Arabidopsis thaliana: one gene and its partners. The protein of the gene in region 1 purifies or fractionates together with the protein of each later gene. This does not show direct contact. Each region holds a gene or a part of one and is shown on either strand. Other genes may lie near its edges. The genes, in order: AT1G52380, PUM5, NADP-ME1 and AT1G13630.

Region 1 (5,171 bases):
TTTTGTTCAAGATTGTTTTTTTACCATCTTCTGCAGAAGAAGCATAGACTAAGGTTTAGGGTAGAATATAATGGCGGGTTGGCAGAAGAATTTACAGATTGTTATTCGTCAAGTTGGTAAAAGAGTTAAGGACAGTCACATTTCCACGGCAAATTACTCTTCCACACGGAATTTGGAATCCCCTTTCTCACAAGGTGGTGAATATTATACCATTTGAAGCTGTTTAGTTTTGATCATTTCGGTTTAGATAATGTTAAATCATTTCTGAATCTATTGTGTTCTTAGTGAAATTTCAAAATGTCAGGTGTTATCTTGGATTTTTGTTTTAATATAGTGTTTGTGTGTTTGAGTTGAGTGGGTGATGATTTTTTTTTTTTTTCAATTTTTGCTGTTGAACTAGGTTATTTGCAGAGTCTCTTGAGATCAACCTATTCCTCAAGACCACTGTATTATCATCTACAACAACTGGTAATGCTTCTGAATCGATGTTTCTTTTGTTTTCTATTGAGACTGGAGTTTCTCGTTTCCTCTTTGATAAATTTGCTTTAGTAATTTAATATAGCAAAATTGTTGTTAGTGGGATAGGGGAAGTGATTAAATGTGCTAGTGGAATGACTACATCTGTTATCTATCTGAATTATGCGAAAAGACACATCTCCTGAAACCATTCATCTGTGGAGAACTATGTTATCTATGGGTATGCTGCTTCATTCTTCTCTGATCTAAATCTGTATGTTTTCAGGGAATTTCTACCTCAAGACAATTGCAGGCGGGTGAGGAGCCTGTATCATCACCTTTGTCATCTCCAGCTCTGCTGGGTAGTGGAAAAGAAGAAGAGCAGAAGATTATCCCAAAGCGTCAGAAAGTTCAGGCTGTCCTCAAGTCCATAAAGCAGGTGTGTTCTCTCTAACTCCTAGTACAGTTTTACATTTTAGATGATATGTATACATCTTGATTTGTTATATGCGCTATATAATGTGCCCAAACCTTACTTATTGCAGAGTCCTAAGAAGGTCAACTTGGTTGCAGCACTAGTCCGTGGCATGCGTGTTGAAGATGCTTTGATGCAATTGCAGGTCACGGTCAAACGAGCTTCACAAACTGTGTACCGGGTAATCTCTGAGATTCGAGTTCAGAAACAAATCACTTTTAGAGTGTCTGGTCTACTCTCCTCTCGAGGCATTTGATACATTTCCTCATCTAATGATACTTAGCATACAACTTGGTCTCATAATGTAGGTTATACATGCTGCGCGGGCAAATGCTACTCATAACCATGGACTAGATCCTGACCGTCTCCTTGTTGGTATGTATACTACTGATCTACCGGATCTGTGACTGACTTGTTTTGCAACACTAAAGAAGGAAACATGATATATGTCAGAGAAGGATGTATAATTCATCTAAGTTCTTTTGATATGTGTGATGCAGCGGAAGCGTTTGTTGGGAAGGGACTCTTTGGGAAGAAGGTAGCTTACCATGCAAAAGGAAGAAGCGGGATAATATCAATACCCAGGTGTCGTCTAACAGTCATAGTCAGAGAGACGACTGCAGAGGAAGAAGCTGAGATTGCAAGGCTGAAAGTTCACAATTTTAAGAAGCTAAACAAGCGGCAGAGACAGCTGGTACCACACAAGTTGATCGAGACAAGTCCAATCTGGAACCGCAGAGGTACCAAAGGCAATCACAGGTCATCTGAGTTGGTACCGTCTCACTAAGTATCATTGTTCCGGCAACTGTAACGAGAGCTTCTCTTTTATGGTACTTGTTTGTATCGGTAATTGGTTACTATTCCATTCAATAGATATGTTGCCAGAGACAGGAACCAAAAGAAAAGTCATTTTTCAATTTATATGAATCGAAGAAAACTGTAATCTTGTAAACATAATTAACACGAATAACATATTTTTCAATGTGACCTTTTGTGCATAATAAAATAAAATAATTGAAGTCACACACAAATGTCGATAAAAATAAAAAAGTTGAGAAAGAGAGAGAGATACAGAGCTGGATGTTTTTTCCTCTATAAACCTCTTTTGCTTTCTCTCTTCGTCTCTGACCACTTTGGCTCCGGCGTTAGTTTTTTCCCTCTCTGCTACTGCTGCGGCTCCGGCTCCTGCTACGGTAAGTCCTTGCCATTTTCTCGTCACCGGTCACTTTCTTCGAATCTTAGGTTTCTTCATTATCGGGTTTATCGGAAATGGTTTGTCTCAGGGTTAGCTACTTTGATTCTAGGGTTTTGTCATGCTCTTGTTTGTTCTGGAAATAGTTTCCGGTCATTTCTTTTATTTTGGTTCTTGATAGTTGCTTTGATGATTAGGGTTTTTGGTATTTAACTCGTGTTGAGATCGAGTTTCAGATTTTTTCTTCACTCATCGAATAATTTCTGAAGATGCTTTGGGGTTTACTCGATTGTTGCAGCTAACAGGAGTTTCTCTTAAATTTGATAGGTTCCTAAAATCGAATTTGGGTTTTTGTTTCCTCCGATTTAAAATCTCTTTTCATCTAGGTTTATAGATTTGAGGATAATAACAAAGTCACTGATGTTGAATTTTTCATTGGTTTTAGATTTATAAGTCACTGTATTTGCATTTCTTATATCTAAGTTTAGCCCTACTTCTTCTGTTCCTTACCTTGGAGTGTTAACATATAATTAGCTGTCTTCTTTGAATACATTTTAAGGCTTTCTGGATATTTGCATAAGGTAACGAGCAGCCTCTGTAGTTTTCACTTTCCATTGCATTGTCATGTTAAAGCTTTTGTCTTCTTAGATTTGGCATTACTCATCATCATCTGTGGCTGCAAACTGATCCGGTGTGTGTGTTTTACCTTTGGAACGGTGTTTTGCATTGTAATGTTTTATCTCTGTTTTCAAAAATTGGATTTTTATCTGTTATTATCTTTGAAGGGTATTGTTTCATTGGACTTTCTTTGTTTGTCTGTGTTTTTTTATTAGGTATTTGACAAGTGTGTTGACATTCTCTCATAACAATTCAAATGGGTGACTCGGAAAACGTTCAGCAACCTTCAAAAAAGAGAGGTGCCTTGAAGCAGCTGTCTCGTGATAATCCAGGTCTTGATGATGATGATGATTCAGCTGAACTTGAGAGTGGAACTTTCAAGAAGGCCAGTGATGAGGTTTTGGCTAGTAGAAGAATTGTCAGAGTTAAGCGCAAAGAGCCATCTGCTGCTCCAGTTGCAGCATCCAATCCATTTGCTGGAATTCAGTTGGTCCCTACGACTGCACCTGCTTCAACCCCTGTGGGAACAAATGCACCTCTGGCTGAGTCAAAATTGGCTCCAGCTGAAGCAGTAGTTGAGGACAATCAAAAAGCAAGTGATATTGAGGAGGGCGATGAAGTTGACAGTAAGAAGGTTGATGTCAAAGATGCTGTTGGGGAAGAGACTGAAAAGACTAAAGATAAGGATGATAATCATTGTGGAAAGAGTGCTGATGTCCAAGTTGCGGCTACAGAAGTAGCTCAGATGGTCTCATGTGACACAAACGTTTGCAACAACGCTGTTGAAGGAACAGACCAAACTGATTTTCCTCTTGAGAAGGATTCAGGAGGTGATCAGGCTGAGAAAAAAGAAAAAGAAGGCAACGGAATTGAGGAAGCAGATAAGAATGGCGATAATGGTGCTTTCAGCTCATTCCAACAGCATTCAAGTAACAAAAACGCATTCACCGGACTTGCCAGTACAGAGGCTTCAGGGTCTTCGTTCTCATTTGGTTTGGTTTCTCAGGATGGTTCAACTGGTACTGGGTCTCTCTTTGGCTTTGGCCTTCCAAGCAGCAATAGCTCTTCTATATTCGGTGCAACTGGATCGTCCATTATCAAGAAGAGTGAAGGTAGTGGGTTTCCGCCAAAGCAAGAGGTTTCCACAGAAACAGGTGAAGAGAATGAGAAAGTTGCCTTCTCAGCTGACTCGATCATGTTCGAATATCTTGATGGAGGATGGAAAGAGCGTGGAAAAGGAGAACTCAAGGTAAACGTCTCCAGTAATGATGGTAAAGCAAGATTAGTTATGAGAGCTAAAGGAAACTACAGATTGATCTTAAACGCGAGTCTTTACCCAGAGATGAAACTTGCAAACATGGATAAAAAGGGAATCACATTCGCTTGTGTGAATAGTGTAAGCGAAGGCAAAGAAGGTCTCTCTACATTTGCACTGAAGTTCAAAGACCCGACAATTGTTGAAGAGTTTCGTGTAGCCATTGACAAACACAAAGATAGTAAACCAATGGAGAAAGCAGCAGAAAAATCAGCTCTTCCTCTGAAGACACCTGAGAACTCTCCAACAGCTACAGATACTTGAAGAAAAGGTAAAAAGAAAAAAAGAAAAAACATGTAGAAACACTTCTCTCGTCTCTCTCGTCTCTCTTGTCTTTTGTCTTGTCTTGTTACTTCCAAGTAGTTGAATTTTGAGGCAGAGGAAAACTAAAATATTTGGAGAAGTTTGTTGTTTTTTTTACACAGTTGTTGAGACTTTTTGGTTACATGTTTCTGTTTGTAGAAGGAAACCATATATGACTTAAATCTGCATCCTTGATTTCTTTTTATGTTCCACCATATGAATGTGACTGGACCAGATAGGTTTCAAATTGGTCCTGAGATTTTAAGGGCTTAAGATGTGTTCTTCAAATCGTAGATTAATCGTGTTGTCAATTAATCTGGATTTGTAAAGCTGGGTTTATAAAGATCGGTATAAAATTGATCTAAGATTCACAGAGTACAAAGTTGGTGGGTTTGGGTTACTGAGAAAATTTGACATGTGTTAGTACTGTAGTTATGTTGCTAGAGTGTTTTGATTAAAGAGGTTAGTAGTTGGGAAAAGCAGAGCCTGAAAATAGAAGTGAAACACGAATAAAACAGCAAAAGTTTAACAGAAGAAAGATGAAAGGTCAATGTTTTGAGAGTTACATAGAATGATGAAACATTGTTGCCAAACCAGGGGGTAGTTGAGACCTGCTGCGCACAGAGGTTAGTCATCAGAACCAGTATCTTCTATGCCCTTACACAGTGAAAGGTGTTTCCAAGACACTATGTACTTAGCACACATTACCGCCGTCAGACATTCATCATCAGGTAAAGTCCTATCAGGGATTGTTGCAAAAAGTTTGAAACCTCTATATCTCAAACCTTGAAGAAATGGCCAGAATTGATCAT
Region 2 (6,864 bases), on another chromosome or scaffold:
ATTGGAATTGCTCCAAGTCCTTCAACTCCATCGCCAAGATCTGCATCTAAGAAGCTGTCATCGCCTTTCCGATGTCTTTCTCTCAAAAAGTTTGATGTTCCGGAGGAAGATATCGAGCATTTGCAGCCGACAGAAGTTGACGACCCTTATCAAGATCTAGAGACGGCCTATGTTGCTCAACTCTGCCTCACTTGGGAGGCACTTCACTGTCAATACACGCAGCTGAGCCACTTAATCTCATGCCAACCCGAAACCCCGACTTGCTACAACCATACTGCCCAACTGTTTCAGCAATTCCTAGTCTTGTTGCAGAGGTATATAGAGAATGAACCGTTTGAGCAAGGCTCAAGATCGGAACTTTATGCTCGTGCTAGAAATGCAATGCCTAAGCTACTTCAAGCTCCTAAGATTCAAGGTGATTTCTCAGCTCTCATACATTGCGCGACTTAAAACCTTATGTGTAGTAGTAACACTTGAAGTTGGTTATGTTCAAAACATATCAGGGTCAGATAAAAAGGAGATGGAGAAAGATACAGGCTTCATGGTCCTCGCTGATGATCTCATCAAAGTCATAGAGAGCTCGATCCTTACTTTCAACGTCTTCTTGAAAATGGATAAGAAGAAACCAAATGGGGGTATTCACTTGTTTGGGAACCACAACAACAACCATGTGAATTCTACAACTCCTTTACTACTGGTTCAGTCATCCATTGATAAGGTACGATTTCTCTGTACTCAAATGTTATTACTATCGTATGCTTCTTTGGTGTCTCATAAGAGAGGAACTTTTGCAGAAAAGGGTGAAAGCAAAGGAGCTTTCAAAGAAGACAAAAGGGCTGAGAAAGAAATCATGGCCTCAAACATGGGAAGGTGTTCAACTCTTGTTTGCAGCCATTGACATCAAACTCGCAACACGGGTTTTGAGGATGTCGAAAATCAGTAAAGAGCAACTTCTATGGTGTGAAGAAAAGATGAAAAAGCTCAACTTTTCAGCTGGGAAGCTTCAAAGACACCCATCTCCAATTCTTTTCCCTTGTTGATATAATAAAGTGATGAACACACAATGATTTCAAATACTGTAGCATCAACTGTTCCCTTTTTATACGATCTTTAAGATCCGGTTTGGGGATTTTTCTTTTGCAGACAAATCAAAGAAGAAATTGTGTGTGTTGTTCCATTTGCTTTCATTCATTCTCTTGGCAATAAGAGTCCAATTCCAAGAACACACTTGGTTTGGTCATAGATTCACTATTAAGGGACCATTTTCATTGTTGTCGTTTGGATTTAGCACATATGAAAGAATCCAATGTTGTCTTGTTGATGGGAAACTAAATCCATGATCATGATCATGATGGTGATAGAAAAGTCTTATTCTTCTATCACTTTCATTGTTTTTGGCCAAAGTCTTTTTATTTCTTTTCCACACTTTCCTATTTAACAAAAATCCTAAGAACTATAACTATAAAACTGTTGAACAGTGTTCAGGTTCTTAAAACAAACAATTAGAATTTCTTAATCCAAAAAGAAGAAGAAACAAAAACAAAAAACTTAAAGTGTGTTTTGGTGGTGGCGTAGTAACAGGCAACAGAGACAATGCCACGTGAACGTATCTCTTTCAACTAGAAGTGTCAACACGTGGCAAACCTAGTCACCAATTTGGAGCCAAAGCTTGAATGACCAAAAAGGGCTTGCTTCACCACCACCGTTAAAGAACATGCTGAGGGGTAGTTTAGTCATTATAAGGAGACGACGACCTCTTCGTGTGCGAATCCGTCGTGATGCTGAATATTGTAATGTTGTTAAAAATGCGATATCGAAAAACTCTTTAAATAAAATTTTGTGTATTAAATTAAAGACTAAAACCTTACAATAATTGCCGAGAAACAAAAAAGTGTTAAGATTAGTCTTGACTTGGTGACTCGACGAAGCCCCTTGAAGCAAACTTTTCAAAGGGTTTAGTTTTAATTTCTCTATCTCTCTTTTTCTCTGGGTCTCTTCTCTCTTCAAACATTTTATTTCAAGCTCTTTGAGAAAACACTTTCATGGAAGCTTGAATATCACCATCAGGTACTTAACTCTGCCTCTTCTTCCCTCTTCCTCTCTGTATCTACTTTTTTTTCTTCTACAAGTCATGCAAGGAACTAGTTTATGAATAGAAAATGATAAAGTTTAAGTCTTTTGTTTAATTTTGATCTCTGATTATAGCTTCAGGATATGATTCTCTGTTTGTGAAGAGGTTAATGAATGAGTTCAACGGTTTCGTGTGCTTTTATAAAGATGGCGTCTTTTGATGATCTTGTTGTTGTTTTTCCTGATTATTGAGTTGACTGAATTTTTTAGCTTCAGGAAATGGTAAAAATCTTAGTCTGAAATTTCGATCCTTGATATGTAGATTTCGTTCATGTCTTGTCGATTACTTGTTTTTTTGTTCTTGTGATTAATGAAATTTGGGACCATATCTTAAAGTTCTTAGCTTTTTGTTCTCTTATGGACTAAGGTTTTGCTCTATGTGTCAGGTGTTGTGAAATTTACTTTGTATGATATATAGAAACTTGATTATAATAGAAGTATGACGACTACGCAGAGCGCTATGAGAATGGTTGAGGGTGATCATATAAAAAATTGGCAGGCTTCTAGTGATAGTGGGATCTTTGGTTCACTTGATATGGCTGTTGAAGATTTAGGATTCCTTATGAAAAGAAATAGGTTGGATAGTGGTGATCAAACCGGTAAATTCCCTAGTAGAAGCGAAAGCGCGCCGCCTAGCATGGAAGGTTCCTTTGCAGCTCTTAGGAATCTCTTGAAACAACAAGAAGGTAGTAGCTCTGAAGTTTTAAGTAGGGCTATTGAGAATTATGACTCGGAAGAAGAGATACGTAGTGATCCTGCTTATGTAGCTTACTATTTGTCGAACATCAACTTGAATCCGAGACTCCCTCCTCCGTTAATCTCACGGGAGAATCAGCACTTGTTGCGTCATTTTGGTGATAATAATCAGAGTCCAACAACTTCTTGGGATAATATGGGGATAAGATCATCTTTGCATTCTTCTAGAACTGCTCTTTCAACTCATAGAGAGGAGCCCGAGGATGAGGCATCATCGGGTGAACAACAATCTTATGCTTCTTTGGCTGGTCGTCGTAAGAGCATAGCTGATATGATTCAGGTACATGGTTCCTTATTTTATTACTAAAATATTAATTCATTTTACATAAAGGAAGATTTCCCTCTTACACTTTCTTCTGTGTTCAAGCGGCCTCATTCGGCAGGAAATCGTCCAATAGCACAAGACATCCATGCCATTTCCTCTGATACATCTTCAGAACACGCAAGAAGATTACCGGAGTCCGATATAAATTCGGTTAATCTGCTGAGGGAGACAGATTCTCTCTCCAGCGATGCTATTGCTAGTGAAGATCCCTTTACCACTGATTTGGCCTCACAAAGTTTTACTAATGCACAGACAGAGAGATTGAACGCGAGGCAAGCGAGCCATGAGGACAACAATCTATCTGTTTTTGGTGCTTCTCCTCCATCCTCTGTTGCTTCAAGAATGAGGAGGAACCAAGAAGACCAACAATCTCAGGGAAGGAGAATGCCTCCACAATACACACCTTCATCGTATCAGGTTCAAGCTAGTTCGCCACAGCAAATGAGCTATCCGAGGATAGGTGGTACACAGGACATGATGCAGAGCTTACCAAAGATTGCAACTGGCGAGGTACATTCGACTTTCCAATCTCCTCACGGTTTGGCACCGCCTCCTATGTATACATCAACAGCAGCATATATGACATCTCTGAGTCCATTTTACCATCAAAACTTTCAGTCCTCGGGTATGTTCGTCCCGCAATATAATTATGGTGGTTACCCTCCTGCTTCTGGTATTGTCCCTCAATATATGAGTGGATACCCATCTCATGAAGCGACTGTTCCTATGCCATATGATATCTCATCTACTTCTTCGGGCTACAACAACCCTCGGCTCCTGCCTGGAGTATCATCGAGTGGACAAAACATTCCTTCTCTTGTGGATCCTTTTCAGTTGCAATATTTTCAACAGGCTCAAGTGGACGCGTATGCTCCTCCGTTTCAGAGCAGCACTGATTCTTTTGGGCAGAAAGACCAACAAGCTGTTGGCTATATGGCAAATCATGAACCTCTCAACAGTCCATTGAGTCCGGGTTACGGGTTGCAAAGTCCGCGGCACATGGGAAACTATTTTGCAGTGCCGCCTGGTGTAAGAGTAATGCCGCAGTATCCAGGATCACCTCTTGCTAGTCCGGTGATGCCATCCTCACCGGTTGGTGGAATGATGAGCCACTTTGGAAGACGAAGTGAAACAAGGTATCATCAACAAGGGCCAAGTAGAAACACTGGGATCTACCCTGGTGGATGGCAAGGGAACAGAGGGGGAGCCAGCAGCATCGTTGATGATCTAAAAAGACATTCTTTTCTTGATGAACTTAAGTCTCCAAATGCTCGGAAACTCGAGCTTTCTGATATTGCAGGGCGTGTTGTTGAATTCAGGCAGTGTTTCTGCTCCGAATCTATCATTTTCTTTAATTCTGAAGTAGTGTTTTGAAAGGTTCAAAAGAAATGATGTCATAGTAATCTTAATTTACTACTCATTTTTCTGAACTTCAGCGTCGATCAGCATGGCAGCCGGTTTATTCAACAGAAGTTGGAGCACTGCTCCGATGAGGAGAAGGCATCTGTTTTCAGTGAGGTTCTTCCACAAGCTTCAAAATTGATGACTGACGTTTTTGGAAATTATGTCATCCAAAAAGTGAGCCACTTTTTCTTCTTCTTTTTTTCTAAGCTGAAAAGATCTTGTCCATAAAATACATTGTGATTTTTGAATCAGTTCATAGAACATGGAACTCCGGCACAGAGAGAAGAACTTGTGAAGCAACTTGCTGGTCAGATGGTTTCACTAAGCTTACAAATGTATGGATGCCGTGTGATACAAAAGGTAAATTTATTAATTTTACTTTCCTTATATCAATGTCAGTATCTTGAAGTAAATTGTAGTTAAGTTTCCATGTGCTTGTTTGTACCTTATGATATTTATAGGCCCTTGAAGTGATAGATGTTGACCAAAAGACAGAACTAATTCGTGAGCTCGATGGGAATGTGCTGAAGTGTGTTAGAGATCAAAACGGAAATCATGTTATCCAAAAATGTATCGAGAGTATGCCTGCTGGTAGGATTGGATTCGTAATTGCTGCTTTCCGTGGTCAAGTCGCCACTCTTTCTACTCATCCTTATGGATGCCGAGTTATCCAGGTAATTGGAAAAGAGCGAGCTCTGTCTCCTCTTGTACTCTGAACTTGAAATATTCATTATTTTCCTGTCTGCTTTGTTATAGAGAATCTTGGAGCATTGCTCAGATGATGAGGAGACTCATTGTATAATAGATGAAATATTGGAATCTGCGTTTGCTCTTGCTCATGATCAGTATGGGAATTATGTCACTCAGGTCTGGTTAATCTCGGATCCATTGTCCCTCTTGGAATTGTCTTGAAATCTTTTTGTTCTTAATATTGTGCTTTGGCTTATGTTTTTCTTGTAGCATGTCCTGGAGAGAGGGAAGCCCGATGAAAGGAGACAGATCATTGAGAAGTTGACAGGGAATGTTGTTCAGATGAGTCAGCACAAATACGCATCTAACGTTGTAGAGAAGTGTTTGGAACACGCTGATAGTACCGAAAGAGAGTTCCTGATTGAAGAGATAATGGGCAAATCCGAGGAAGACAATCACTTGCTAGTAAGAACAAAATCCTAAAGATAGCTCTTTGAATCCTCCTGGACTTATTTTAACACTCTTTTGTTCTGCAGGCGATGATGAAGGATCAGTTTGCAAATTACGTGGTCCAGAAAGTCTTGGAGATCAGTAAAGATCAGCAAAGGGAGATTCTGGTGCAGAGGATGAAAATTCATCTCCAAAGTTTGCGGAAATACACATACGGGAAACACATAGTAGCCCGATTCGAACAACTGTTTGGTGAAGGTACTTTTCTCTAAAACTAAAACTTGAGTTGTCAATATGACTCTGCTAAAGAAATCTGAACGTTCTAATATGTTATTGTTACAGAGAGTGAAGTCTCAGAAGAGGGAACAGAAGGTTAGACAGAAGATTTTCTTTTGGGTTGCAGATTTGTACAATGTTTGACTTAGACAAATATGTATTTGAAAATGCTTATGTATATATGCTTGTATCTATGAATGGAAGTGTGATGGTATTACAATATGTATATGGTGTGGACATGATCTGTGATTAATAATTTGATTTGCTTCTTACTTCTTTGTTTTGACGAGAAGAACACAGAGAATTAGCCTCAAGAATTAAAAAAAACTCATCTTCTACTTCTCATGGGAATCATAACACTCCCAGGTGCCAAAAAAACATCTCATGTCCAAGCCACCACATTCCCTAAATCATAACTTAGAAATGTGATGACAGGCTTTAGCTTTAAAGAAACAATAATAACTTAGGTTACAATTTCGTCATTATATGAGTGGTTTGGTGTTGGCGGCAAGCAAAATATCTTTCCAGGCTTCATAGAAGACCCAAGTAATGCCTGAAGATGGCATGACTTTCAAACAACTTGCTCCCCATCCTCTGTAGAGTCCCATCACTCCTTCTTTCTTCACTACTTCTGCTATTGCTGCAGCCATGTTTGGTGGGCATTCTCCCTTCAGAGCTCCAACCATCAACCGCTTCCGCGCTACTTCCAAGGGGAAGCTTATGGTGCTCGCCGTTAGACCTGACCCCAGTCACAACTCAATGAGTCTTAAACATGATTTAAGTAAGGAAATACTGTAAAGGGAGTGGTTTCTTCAATTACTTACCAGCTAAAG
Region 3 (6,242 bases), on another chromosome or scaffold:
GTTTCCTATTGACGAATCATACTATATCATGGGCACAGTGGATCCCACCGGGGAGCTTAAGGAAAATGAAATCTGTGTCATCCTGTAGGCTAGCAAATTCTTCTCTTTCTCTTTCGCTTTGAGTTTTGCATGTAATCATCAAAAAACAGTGATTAGCTTCCTTGGAATTATGAGTTCTTCCCTACAAGTAGCTGCTCATTTTCACTGCTTTCTTTTCATGGTTTTGTAGCCATTCTGGCCAAATTTCCGGGGATGTGTTAGTTTACAGAAATCCTGGATTACATTTTGGAGACATACATGTACTTAAGGCTACCTATGTTAAGGCCTTAGAAGACTATGTTGGAAATGCCAAGTTTGCTGTGTTCTTCCCTCAGAAAGGTCCAAGATCCTTGGGCGATGAGATTGCTGGTGGTGACTTTGATGGCGATATGTATTTCATATCCAGAAATCCCAAGGTACTCTGCTATATCCATCACATTTGAAAATAAACTCTTCATTGCTGAGACCTGACCTGTGAACCGGAATTCGTCTATTTAGCTACTGGAACACTTCAAGCCAAGTGAACCATGGGTGAGTTCTTCTAAACCTAGTAAAATTTACTGTGGAAGAAAGCCAAGTGAACTATCAGAAGAAGAGTTGGAAGAAGAGCTATTCAAAATGTTCTTAAAAGCAAGATTTTGTAAGAGGTACATAATTTAACTGTCGGCTTACTTTCAAGCTCACAATAGTTCGTTTAGTTAACATATGCCTTGTTTTCACGGTTTACAGAGACGTTATAGGGATGGCTGCAGATTGCTGGCTAGGAATAATGGACCCTTTCCTCACCTTAGGAGATGAGAGTGCTAAGGAAAAATATGAAAGGAAGAAGAATATTCTTAAGTTGATTGATATATACTATGATGCTCTTGATGCACCAAAAAAGGGGGCTAAGGTTGATCTCCCGCCCGATCTAGAGATCAAAAATTTTCCACATTACATGGAGCGTGACCCTAAGAGAGATTTCAGGTCCACTTCTATTCTTGGATTAATCTTTGACACTGTGGATTCTCATAATGCAGAGGAACCCCCACCATCTGGTACGGATCTTCTAGTTTCTATCAATAATCAGAGTACACAAGAACTCATCATCTCGAATATGTATTAACGTCTATATTGTATGTTTCAATTCAGAAATCAGTAAACTCTGGTATTTTGAAGATGAACCGGTCCCTAAGTCTCACATGGATAAATTTACATCCTGGTACGAGAATTACCGAAGTGAAATGTCCCAAGCGATGATGGAAACTGATAAGGTTAAGAGGAATCAATTAACCAATGAAGTTATCCAGAGGTACAAGCAGGTAAGCTCTCGCTCAATCCAATGCAAAGATCTGACCAATAGATTTCATGAATCACATTTTTTGTTGATTAGTCCATATAATGCTTCTTAACACAACTCATCGGTTGAACGGTTTCTTCTGTCTGTATCAGGATTTCTATGGCGCTGCAGGGTTTGAAGACAGCAATAAAAGTCTGGAAGAACTCTACCCCCAAGCCTTGGCACTCTACAACGTCGTTTACGATTATGCCATTCAGGAAGGTGTTGCGAAATGTACATTTGCCTGGAATGTTGCAGGACCGGTCCTGTGCAAATTTTACCTTAAGAAAACGAAGGATAAATCAGTAGTGGCTTCAACGTCTGTGCTTAAAAAGCTTTTGGGTTGAACAGACTTACTTGTCCTGTTTGTTGTCTTCATGTATCATAAGATGCGTTAGACAAGTATCTGACCTAGGTAACCGAACTTATAGGCGAAGCTATGTGGTGTACTTCCTTTGTTTAAGTTATAACTTAAGATTTGTCATCTAGTGTACAAGTAATTCCGTGTGTATGTTTGCTTATGGAATAAATAAAGAAAACTAATGCTTATATTTAATTTCAATTAATTGTACGTGGCACTTTCAGAGTCCATTTGGTGTACAAAGCTGTCTTCTTCAGTGTGACACCTCTCTGCATCCTCAAGCTTCCATTTGTCTTTTCCAGACCTTTCTTCTTTCCATTAAGTTTCTTCCTTTGTGATCCTAGAAAAATCTACTTCTTTTCGCTTTTTGTTTTTGGGATTGTTTTCATTGATCCTTTCAAGATGGAGAAAGTGACCAACTCAGACTTGAAATCCTCTGTTGATGGTGGCGTTGTTGATGTGTATGGAGAAGATTCAGCCACCATTGAGCACAACATAACTCCTTGGTCTCTCTCTGTTTCTAGGTAGCAACATAACTTCTCCGTGGTAATATAACTAAGTGTTTAAATTAACACTCAAGTTAGTAACTCTGTTTCTTGTTTCAGTGGATATTCATTGCTGAGAGATCCTCGCTACAACAAAGGACTTGCTTTCACTGAGAAAGAGAGAGACACTCATTACTTGCGTGGTCTTCTCCCTCCAGTTGTTCTTGATCAAAAGCTTCAGGTAAAAACTTGGTGATTTGGTTATTCTGTATGGTTGCGCTAATGGATATAGATACATAAAAAACTTGTGTCAATGGTTTTTTTGGGATTTCAAATGATTTAGGAGAAGAGGCTGTTGAACAATATCCGACAATATCAATTCCCATTACAAAAGTACATGGCTCTGACAGAACTTCAGGTGAAAATCTTGTCTATATAATCTACAAATTTTCTGTTTAGTATTTCAGAGAAAAATGAATCTGTTATTGGACTTGAAACAGGAAAGAAACGAGAGACTGTTTTACAAGCTATTGATAGATAATGTTGAGGAGCTACTTCCTATTGTTTATACTCCAACTGTTGGTGAAGCTTGTCAGAAATTTGGAAGTATTTTCAGGCGACCTCAGGGTTTATTCATCAGTTTAAAAGACAAGTATATATTGCTTGTAACTGTATCTTATTATTTTCAATTCCCTCCCCCCCCCCCCCCCTCTTTTAGCTTTACTCATATGTCATAACCATTTTATTCATAACAGGGGAAAGATTCTAGATGTGTTAAAGAACTGGCCTGAAAGGAACATACAGGTTATTGTTGTTACTGACGGTGAAAGGATTTTAGGATTAGGAGATCTTGGATGTCAGGTATTCCTCGGATATCGCTTCATTTCAGATTTGATGTGATCACAATATGACTTTGATTGTTTGTTTGCCTGAGTTTGTCTCTCTTTAGGGGATGGGTATACCGGTTGGTAAGTTGGCGTTATATTCAGCACTTGGAGGTGTTCGTCCTTCAGCGGTAATGGTTTAGTTGTCCTACGGTTTTAAACAATATTTCTGAGTCAGGAACTTGAGACTATATTGCTTTTGGCAGTGTTTACCTGTCACCATTGATGTGGGAACAAACAATGAGAAACTGTTGAATGATGAGTTCTACATAGGACTCAGGCAAAAGAGAGCAACGGGACAGGTTTGTTCTTGTATAGTCTACTCTATTAAGAACTTAAAACATGATCATATGAACTTCCACGAATGAGTAGGTTTAAACATTATTGCAGGAATATAGTGAACTCTTGAATGAATTCATGAGTGCTGTGAAACAGAACTATGGTGAAAAAGTTCTTATTCAGGTAAGAAATGAATTCATAGTTCTTGATCTATAATTGAAGGATTCAGTAAAATATTACTGAAGCTCTTTTATGTGGATTGTTATCTTTCATTTGATACAGTTTGAAGATTTTGCTAATCATAATGCCTTTGAGTTGCTTGCAAAATACAGCGATACTCATCTCGTCTTCAACGATGATATACAGGTAACAGTTTAAGACCTCTTTTTATGTTTCTTTTTGTCTTCATAGTACCAAAGAATTTTGTCTTTGCCTTTCAATTTCAGGGGACAGCATCAGTTGTTTTAGCAGGATTAGTTTCCGCACAGAAGTTAACGAATAGCCCACTTGCAGAGCATACCTTCCTCTTTCTTGGTGCTGGTGAAGTAAGAATCAATTTTTGGAATCACAGTATCATCCTTTATACTCAATGTTTTCTTATGTCTTCTTGTTTGGTTGTTGCAGGCTGGAACTGGAATAGCAGAACTCATAGCTCTCTATATGTCAAAACAGGTAGAAGGAATACAAAACTGTACATAAGAGGAAATTTGAGAGTAGCTGTCAACTTATTACATCTTTCTTCTGCAGATGAATGCTTCGGTAGAGGAAAGCCGCAAGAAAATCTGGCTTGTTGATTCCAAGGTAGAAGGAATACAAAACTGTACATAAGACATTTCATTGGAACTACCATTTTGATGCAAGTTTTGTTTTCTGATAGGGATTGATTGTTAACTCCCGCAAAGATTCACTTCAAGACTTTAAGAAACCATGGGCTCATGAACATGAACCAGTCAAAGACCTCTTAGGTGCTATCAAGGTTTGAAATTTCTCCTGTTAAGCGTCATGGTCCTCTTATATCTCAGATCTGTCTTCTTTCCTCTTAAGTATTATGTCTCATCAGGCAATAAAACCGACTGTTCTGATTGGATCTTCTGGCGTTGGACGGTCTTTTACAAAAGAAGTGATAGAAGCCATGTCCTCCATTAATGAGGTATTTACTATCCCTATCAAGTGAATGAGTGATCATATTAATTATTAAAGCATGGTTTTGGTTAAAGAGGTAGTGAAACCAACAATATGTTTCTTGCAGAGACCACTGATAATGGCTCTCTCTAACCCCACAACACAATCTGAATGTACAGCCGAAGAAGCTTATACTTGGAGTAAGGTAAGTCTCTCCACACCGCACCATTGTTCCAATATGTATTCCCTTCAGATAGAAATGAAGTTTTCTGATCTTCTTCGAATGAAGGGCCGTGCCATTTTTGCTAGTGGAAGCCCTTTTGATCCAGTTGAGTATGAAGGAAAGGTGTTTGTATCTACACAGGTAGTAGTCACAGATAGTTTCTCTTCTCTTCATCCGTTGAGGTTTACGGAACTAGGTTAAGAAAAAAATCTATGCTTTACTTAAAACACAGGCGAACAATGCGTACATATTCCCGGGCTTTGGACTTGGTTTGGTTATCTCTGGAGCAATACGGGTACATGACGATATGCTTCTAGCTGCTGGTAAGCATCTACGAAATGTAAAAACAAGTAAAAGGCTCTCTCAGCTTTGTTGTTTACTAATATTATGATGTGTTTCTGCGTCATAGCTGAGGCATTAGCTGGACAAGTAAGCAAAGAGAACTATGAGAAAGGAATGATATATCCTTCATTCTCTTCCATCCGGAAAATATCAGCTCAGATTGCAGCCAATGTAGCAACTAAGGCGTATGAACTAGGTCGGTCTCTCTCTCTCTCTCGCGCAGTCAGCCTTATATTGTGGTTTTGAATATTGATGGTGGAAATGCTGGTTTTGCAGGATTGGCAGGGCGGCTTCCACGGCCGAAAGATATTGTCAAATGTGCAGAGAGTAGCATGTACAGCCCCACATACCGTCTCTACCGTTGAAAGTTGAAACTCAAGAGTCTATACTTTGTGTGCTTCTCATCCTTTGTTCAGTTATTCCCATGTCTTTCTGTAATTTCCAGTATTAAATTAGTCTTTCAAGTTGAGATTTCAAACACATGCCAAGATCTCTCATTTAACTTTGCAACTCTGAAAGTTAAAGACTATATGAAGTGAATTTGTTTAATAGAAAACGATGAAAATGTTATATATTTGGCAAAAGAGTGCAAAATTTACATCGCTAGTTTGACGGGTAAACATGAGTGGTTTTTCCTTGTAGACTTACCAATTTTCAATATTGTACGTCAATTTATTAGTGAGTGTAATAATGAATATATTAGTCTATCCGTGTGTGGTCTTTCTCTCACAATTTTGCTTTTATCCCATACTTTTGGCACTAGCTAAGATGACTTTCTTAACTCTAGTTAGTACATTTTCCTAGATCCCTTCAAGATATGTTGTTTTGAATTTTTTTATTTTTTTTGTCACAACTGTGTTTTATTTATTTATACAAGGCCAAATAATATAAAGCCAAAATTAACAGGCAATAACACTAAATTAAAAGAAAAGCCCAACAGAAACCCTAAATTGAAGGAAAGCTTGTTGTAGACAGCACATGAAACACGTATCCAATGGTAACCAGGCTTCTAGACACGTGGGAAGTGGAAGAGATAGGAGTTTCCGTTCATTGGCAAAATTGTGTGTCGTCGGGAATCTTCAATCCGACCAAAATCACCAGAAAACTTGATCTATCAACATGTCTCAAACTTCGCCCAAAGAAATCATGGCGAGATTCCAATTTTAGCTTTGATGAGAATCTTTGAATT
Region 4 (5,769 bases), about 15 Mb from region 1:
TGAGTAGTGATTACTTATGTAATCAATTTCCACATCATTCACAACTGCGAATTTCACATAGCGGTTGCATTCAGTTTGAAATTTCGACATGCATGTATATAATCTAAAGAGGTTGATGATAACCATGTAAAGCAGGTTATGAAGCATCTTGATGGTGATGATGCAATGAAGAAGGCGCAAGTACGAGGAAGAAGTGGACAAGAGTTTAGCAAGGAAACGACAAAGATGATGATGAAGAAGACAACAAAGAAAGAGACAAATGTTGAGGAAGAGGATGATCTCGTTGCCTACACTGCTGATTACTGGAAACCAAGGCACCATCCTCCCAAAAACAACTGATCACATCTATCATATTTATATAGAGACTCAACAAAATGCTCCTCATTATTATCATATCAATATAAGATATATATCAAAATACATATAGTATATGGAGTATTGTGAGCTTTGTGTTTGTAAAATCGATCGTTCAAATTATATATATGAAAAAGTGGTATGTATAACCAAATTGTGTTGTCTCAGTTATAAAAAGTGGTATGTATAATTACCAAGCTGTGTTGTCTCAATGTTATCCTTCTCTTAAGTTAATTATGTGCTGATCTTACATTAGTGTTGGGAATAGGTACAAAAGAATGTTTCAGACAGACAAGATATGCTCTGGAATGAGTAAGAACAACAAACTATCAAGAAGTTACAGTAAAAAATCTGGCGATATCTGGTCGAAAAATGGAAAAGCTTTTTGGTTACAAAAATGGATTATGTATTTCACCCGTCTTGGTTTGTAGTTGAATGAGCCCAGAATCCTAGGATCCCTCACGCAAAGCTGAACTTACCATTTTGTCCACTTCCGTCAAATACTCTTATTTACGACCAAGCAGGTTATAACTGGAGTTGTTGTCACTGGCCGGACCCTTTTGATTCCCCCGTCCGTTTTTGACCAAGCTGTGACTTCATCTTCAGAAGAACCTGAAGAAAGTAAATTCAGTCTTAGACTCAAGCAGCAAAACGACCTAGACACTTGAGAGGGTTTGGGTTGAGGAAACTAAAAACTTGACAGAAGTAAAAGTCCCTTGTTCCATATTTCCAATCTAACCAAAAGGCCTCATACGTTCACATTATCGAGTTCAAAGGTTAGTATGAAAATGGTAAAGAAACATCACTTACCGCAATTCGTCAAAGTCGTCAATGTGATACAACTGTTGCCCGATGATACCATCCAGTAGCTAAGATTAATCTGTTAACTGAATCACTGAGAAAGACAATAAAGCATCAGATAAATCCATTACGTAACTTATTTAGTTTCTTTATGCAGTAAAAGTATACTAATAACAGTTACCTCATGAGACAGTTTCTCTACTGAAAGTGTGTGCCTTCTGCAGTTAGCAGATAAGATGGGACAATAGACAAAACTTCTCTCATTACTAATCAGGCAACAAACCCCATTTGATTGTCCAGGAAAGCAATTCATCTGACTTGATCATCACTTCACAAATGTCTAAGTCAGGCGAAATACCCTGGGATAACATTAGACAGAAGAAGAATTTGCTCTCGTTTACCAAATGTCTCCTACACAAACGGTTGATCACCGCGCTATAGTCCCTAATGGAAACATTGAATCCTCTGTGCAGCAGTTGATGAAATAGCTTCACTGCCATTTCAGGGTCACCCTTTACACAATGTGCCTTGATCAGTGTGGTATAAGCAAATTTGGACAAACTAACATTCTGCTCCTGGAGCGAATAGATAAAACTGTCAGCTTTCCTTATGTAACCGTAGACACAAAGGCTGTCGATTAGAATATTATAAGTAGCAGATGAAGCATCAAGATTTCGAGATTTCATTATTTCGAGAAACACAAATGCTCCAGATAAATGTTTAACTCTGCATAGATACTGAATAATTGTATTATATGTGATCTGATCTGGAGGTATACCTTCAGATTCCATGTCCCTGAGTCCCTGCTTGCATTTTTCGAATATCCTTTCCCTGAGTACATGGTTGCAATTTTCATGTTTCCAGCCTCTGCAAAGTCCTTTAAAAATCACTGAGTACGTGACATTGGTTGGTGGGATTCCTTCTGCTTTCATTTCCCTGCGCAATTCATCTATGCTTTTGGTATTTCCACAATTTGCATATGCATCCATCAGAGTTGTATAACTCACAACACTTGGAGCCAATCCATATAACTTGATGACATCTAAGATTTTTCTAGCCTCAGCTATATTCTGGGTTTTGCAATACCCGTATATCAAAGAATTAAAAGTTGCAACGCTAGGAGTTATCCCAGTCTCAATGACTACTTTGAATAACTCTAACGCCTCCTCAATGCAACCAGACTTTGCATACCCGTCAATTACGATATTGTACAGAACAATATCCAGTGTCTCTCCACTTGAAATCAGAGAATCCAAAAGCGATCTTGCCTCAAGTAACATCCCTTTCTGACATAAACCGAGCAAAAGAGCACCATGAGTCCTCGAATTCGGAAGAATTCTTTTGTCACACATCTCGTCGTAAAGCCAAAGAGCCATATCAAATTTTCCTAACTTGCAGAGGCCATGAATCACAATAGAATATGCTACAAGATCAGGGCTCAGACCATCGGCTTTCATTTGATTGAATAACGACAAAGCTTCATCTATTCTTCCTGTTTTACATAAACCACTGAGCATTACACTGCATGGGATGATACTGTTTAACTCAAATCCCCTCGACAACATATCCTTCAGCAATACTAAACCCATGTCAATATTTCCTAACTGACATTGTCCACATAGTAAAATTGTGTATGTAATAACATCAGGACTCAATCCTTTATCCAACATATCTCGAATTACCTCCCAAGCCCCACTGATCATACCGAGAAGATGAAACCCTTTCGCAAGAATATTGTATGTCACAGAATCAGGTTCCACTCCATGCTTATTCATGTCACTAGCCAACTCTAAAGCTTCTGCGATAGAACCAACTAGACAGAGTCCATTGATGAGTATATTGTGACTATATACACTAGGAACCAACCCACATTTCAAAACTGTACAGAAAAACGACTTCGCCATATCTACAAAACCCAATTTACAGTAACCTGACATTATACTATTGAAAGAAACTACAGAGGGACCAATATCCTTCCACTCTGAAGTTCGAAGGAACAAAACTGCATCCTCTAGCTTTTGTTGCCTACACAAACCATCTACAACTGTTGAGTACGTGTGCTCGTTCTTATCCTTGATTTCCTTGTACACATCCCACATCTTATCCGTCTCTCTAAAATGATACAAAACGGAGTTGTACGACTGTGTCGACACATTCAAGTTCTGATCCTTCATCTTTTTCAAGATATAAAGAGAATCATCAACCATTCTCAATCTTGATGAAAGAAACAACAACATATCCCAAACTAATCCCGTAGACTCCCACTTTCTGAAGCTATTAGAGAGAAGTTCACAAAGCCTAGAAGCTGAACCAGAGCCTAAACATTGAAAATTGATACAACAAATCATATTCCACCCCAACAAATATCTTAACCAAACCTAACAAACTCTAAAACTGTAAGCTTTCAATAAAATTGCAGACAAAAGAAAAGAGAAGACGTGCCTTCTTCTTGAAGCAATTGTTCCAGAATCACTTGAAGCTCTTTGAAACGTCTTTGACCAGCTAAAACATGTGAAACCAACAATGTGGAAAAACTCGAATGACGAAACGCATAGATATCTCTCAGCTCTTTGAAAAACCAAACAGAAAGATCTGAGCTTTCAGACATCAATTCATCCATGATTTCTTCGACATGAACATGCCTCAATTCCGAAACCAAACCTCGAAAGTGATACCCGTGAAGAAACTCGCGGAACCCAATCTTCTTCATCCCAAAGAGAATCTCTTTATAGAAGCCTCTGTGATCGGAAGTGGAATTGGTTGTGGGTAATGACTCATCGTCCATTTTCGCGACGGAGAAGGAGGATTTAGTGAATAAGAGAGAAGAGAAAGGAGAGAGAGAACGAGACACTTTGCTTGAATTGAATGCAATCCATCTACAGATCATGGAATTTTGGGATTAGGGTTTTTCAATTGGGGGATTCTGGAGATGCCCTTGTCGTTTTTCAGAGAAAATTAAGCGAATTTGAGGTTCGCCGGAGAGAATTAAGGTTTTCTTTTCCCGGCAAGTTTGAAGAACAGCCGGAGGAGATAAAAAAGGGTTTTAAGATAATTGGGTTTATGATTTAAACCCTAATTTCGGTTAATCACTAACCGAATCAATTTTATATTCCGATTCAACTTTTATGACGGTTTACAAAAATTAGAAAGTGAGAGTCAAATTAGGTAGTATGTCAATATGATGATGTTAAAATAATTTACATCTATTCATGGTTCTCTTTGTGAAGAGTATTGGTGAAATAATGAGAAAAAATGAAGATAATTTTAAAAAAAAAAGAGTATTGGTGAAACAAAATAAATGAAATAAATTAAAATAAATAATTTAAAAATAAAACAAATTTTATTTTAATTGAATTAGTGTAAATAGACTAAAACTATTTAATTGATATATGATGATGTTATAAAAAGTTTACATGCATTTTAACAAAGTAACAAATACGTAGTAAGAAAAAGTATATATTATACATAAAAAAAAGGATGAGAGTTCTTTGTCGAAAATAGGCAAAACGTTCATTTCTCTTAAACATGAGAGCATGCAGCAGCAAAGAGTAGAAGCTAAGAATAATCTGGTTTATAATTATTTAATTCACCGTAACCATATCAATAATCATATTTTCCACTGAAGAAAGATGTGTTGAGTGCGAACTAGACTAGTGTGGTTTTTTTAATCTAATGGCAGATATCAATTTGTTTTTTCCACTTACTTTAACGTGACAAAATTCAGAAAACTTATTGGAATATGAATGTTCAATGATGCAATAATACTCAAATTTAATTATACATATACCGATTAGTATTTCAAATCAAGTACACAAAGAAGAACTCCAACAGATAAAGTTTTTAAAGTAAATTAGATTTAGAAAAGGTACTAAGATGGATCACTTCACCAATTTGGTTATTTGTCACCTTTCTTGATGCATGCATTAGATCTAAAACCAACTTAAGTAAATGCAAAAATTGTAGTATGTCTTTTTCAGCTATATATTTAAAATAAAATCTATATGAAATTTTGCCGTTTCTTTCGTCTATACATACCAATGAAGAAAATATTCAAATATGGTAAAATTTCACAGACTTGAAAATCCACATTTCACCAACTTAGGTGTAATTAGGCATTAACTTAAAAACTCCATTGTATGCTGCATTGCTCTCCTATAAGTACTTGTGTGTGGCTATTCTTTGTTTTGACTTACTCCAAAATCAAAGATGTATAAGGCAAGTCCTAAAAGAAAAGAGATTGTAGAGAAAAGCAAGAGTGTAAGAGAGAAGGAGATTAAACAAAACTCAAATTTCTTTGCCAAACACTTAAAGAGGATTTACCCAATCACGCTTCAACGAAGCACTTCTTCTTCATTTTCACTCTCTTCTATATCTCTATCACTCTCTCAGAACTCGACCGATTCTGTTTCCACGGATTCAAATTCGACGTTGGAACAAAAGATCTCTCTGGCACTCGGTTTAATCTCATCTCCCCACAGAAGAGAAATATTTGTTCCAAAAAGTATCCCACAACAACTATGTCAGGATTTCAATAGTAGTGATGAACCAAAGAGGTGCAACTGGATCACCAAGAAAAGTGGTAAGATCAAGATGTCCTACTCTAATATTATATAT

What was found.
Region 2: the proteins of AT1G52380 (region 1) and PUM5 purify together in Arabidopsis thaliana (affinity purification with mass spectrometry, with the first as the bait; one large-scale study listed by BioGRID). This does not show direct contact.
Region 3: the proteins of AT1G52380 (region 1) and NADP-ME1 purify together in Arabidopsis thaliana (affinity purification with mass spectrometry, with the first as the bait; one large-scale study listed by BioGRID). This does not show direct contact.
Region 4: the proteins of AT1G52380 (region 1) and AT1G13630 purify together in Arabidopsis thaliana (affinity purification with mass spectrometry, with the first as the bait; one large-scale study listed by BioGRID). This does not show direct contact.

The regions. Positions count from the first base shown.
Region 1 is NC_003070.9:19,506,982-19,512,152, forward strand, and holds AT1G52380 (NUP50 (Nucleoporin 50 kDa) protein), read left to right. Parts: upstream 1-1,970; 5' UTR 1,971-2,124; exon of another isoform or gene 2,125-2,956; 5' UTR 2,957-2,997; coding exon 2,998-4,320; 3' UTR 4,321-4,660; downstream 4,661-5,171. Other genes in the region: AT1G52370 (Ribosomal protein L22p/L17e family protein), read left to right, coding at 71-194, 401-468, 743-895, 1,002-1,112, 1,240-1,306, 1,432-1,718; AT1G52390 (uncharacterized protein), read right to left, coding at 4,987-5,016, 5,068-5,171.
Region 2 is NC_003074.8:7,058,366-7,065,229, reverse strand, and holds PUM5 (pumilio 5), read left to right. Parts: upstream 1-1,857; 5' UTR 1,858-2,067; exon of another isoform or gene 2,068-2,352; intron 2,353-2,516; 5' UTR 2,517-2,569; coding exon 2,570-3,166; intron 3,167-3,253; coding exon 3,254-4,530; intron 4,531-4,647; coding exon 4,648-4,789; intron 4,790-4,867; coding exon 4,868-4,975; intron 4,976-5,076; coding exon 5,077-5,289; intron 5,290-5,371; coding exon 5,372-5,482; intron 5,483-5,575; coding exon 5,576-5,770; intron 5,771-5,841; coding exon 5,842-6,013; intron 6,014-6,097; coding exon 6,098-6,132; 3' UTR 6,133-6,359; downstream 6,360-6,864. Other genes in the region: AT3G20260 (DUF1666 family protein (DUF1666)), read left to right, coding at 1-415, 504-718, 795-1,040; AT3G20240 (Mitochondrial substrate carrier family protein), read right to left, coding at 6,514-6,770, 6,856-6,864.
Region 3 is NC_003071.7:8,591,282-8,597,523, reverse strand, and holds NADP-ME1 (NADP-malic enzyme 1), read left to right. Parts: upstream 1-1,964; 5' UTR 1,965-2,120; coding exon 2,121-2,242; intron 2,243-2,323; coding exon 2,324-2,444; intron 2,445-2,520; exon of another isoform or gene 2,521-2,546; coding exon 2,547-2,621; intron 2,622-2,703; coding exon 2,704-2,855; intron 2,856-2,958; coding exon 2,959-3,064; intron 3,065-3,152; coding exon 3,153-3,218; intron 3,219-3,293; coding exon 3,294-3,389; intron 3,390-3,477; coding exon 3,478-3,549; intron 3,550-3,648; coding exon 3,649-3,732; intron 3,733-3,812; coding exon 3,813-3,911; intron 3,912-3,990; coding exon 3,991-4,038; intron 4,039-4,113; coding exon 4,114-4,167; intron 4,168-4,243; coding exon 4,244-4,342; intron 4,343-4,426; coding exon 4,427-4,516; intron 4,517-4,615; coding exon 4,616-4,693; intron 4,694-4,777; coding exon 4,778-4,852; intron 4,853-4,943; coding exon 4,944-5,034; intron 5,035-5,120; coding exon 5,121-5,249; intron 5,250-5,329; coding exon 5,330-5,418; and 2 more. Other genes in the region: AT2G19910 (RNA-dependent RNA polymerase family protein), read left to right, coding at 1-84, 230-455, 538-686, 769-1,076, 1,171-1,340, 1,471-1,704.
Region 4 is NC_003070.9:4,668,887-4,674,655, forward strand, and holds AT1G13630 (Tetratricopeptide repeat (TPR)-like superfamily protein), read right to left. Parts: upstream 4,188-5,769; 5' UTR 4,043-4,187; coding exon 3,598-4,042; coding exon of another isoform or gene 3,594-3,597; exon of another isoform or gene 3,504-3,593; coding exon of another isoform or gene 3,473-3,503; coding exon 1,422-3,472; coding exon of another isoform or gene 1,337-1,421; intron 1,250-1,336; 3' UTR 1,165-1,249; intron 967-1,164; coding exon of another isoform or gene 898-966; 3' UTR 539-897; downstream 1-538. Other genes in the region: RGF2 (root meristem growth factor-like protein), read left to right, coding at 136-339; AT1G13635 (DNA glycosylase superfamily protein), read left to right, coding at 5,362-5,734.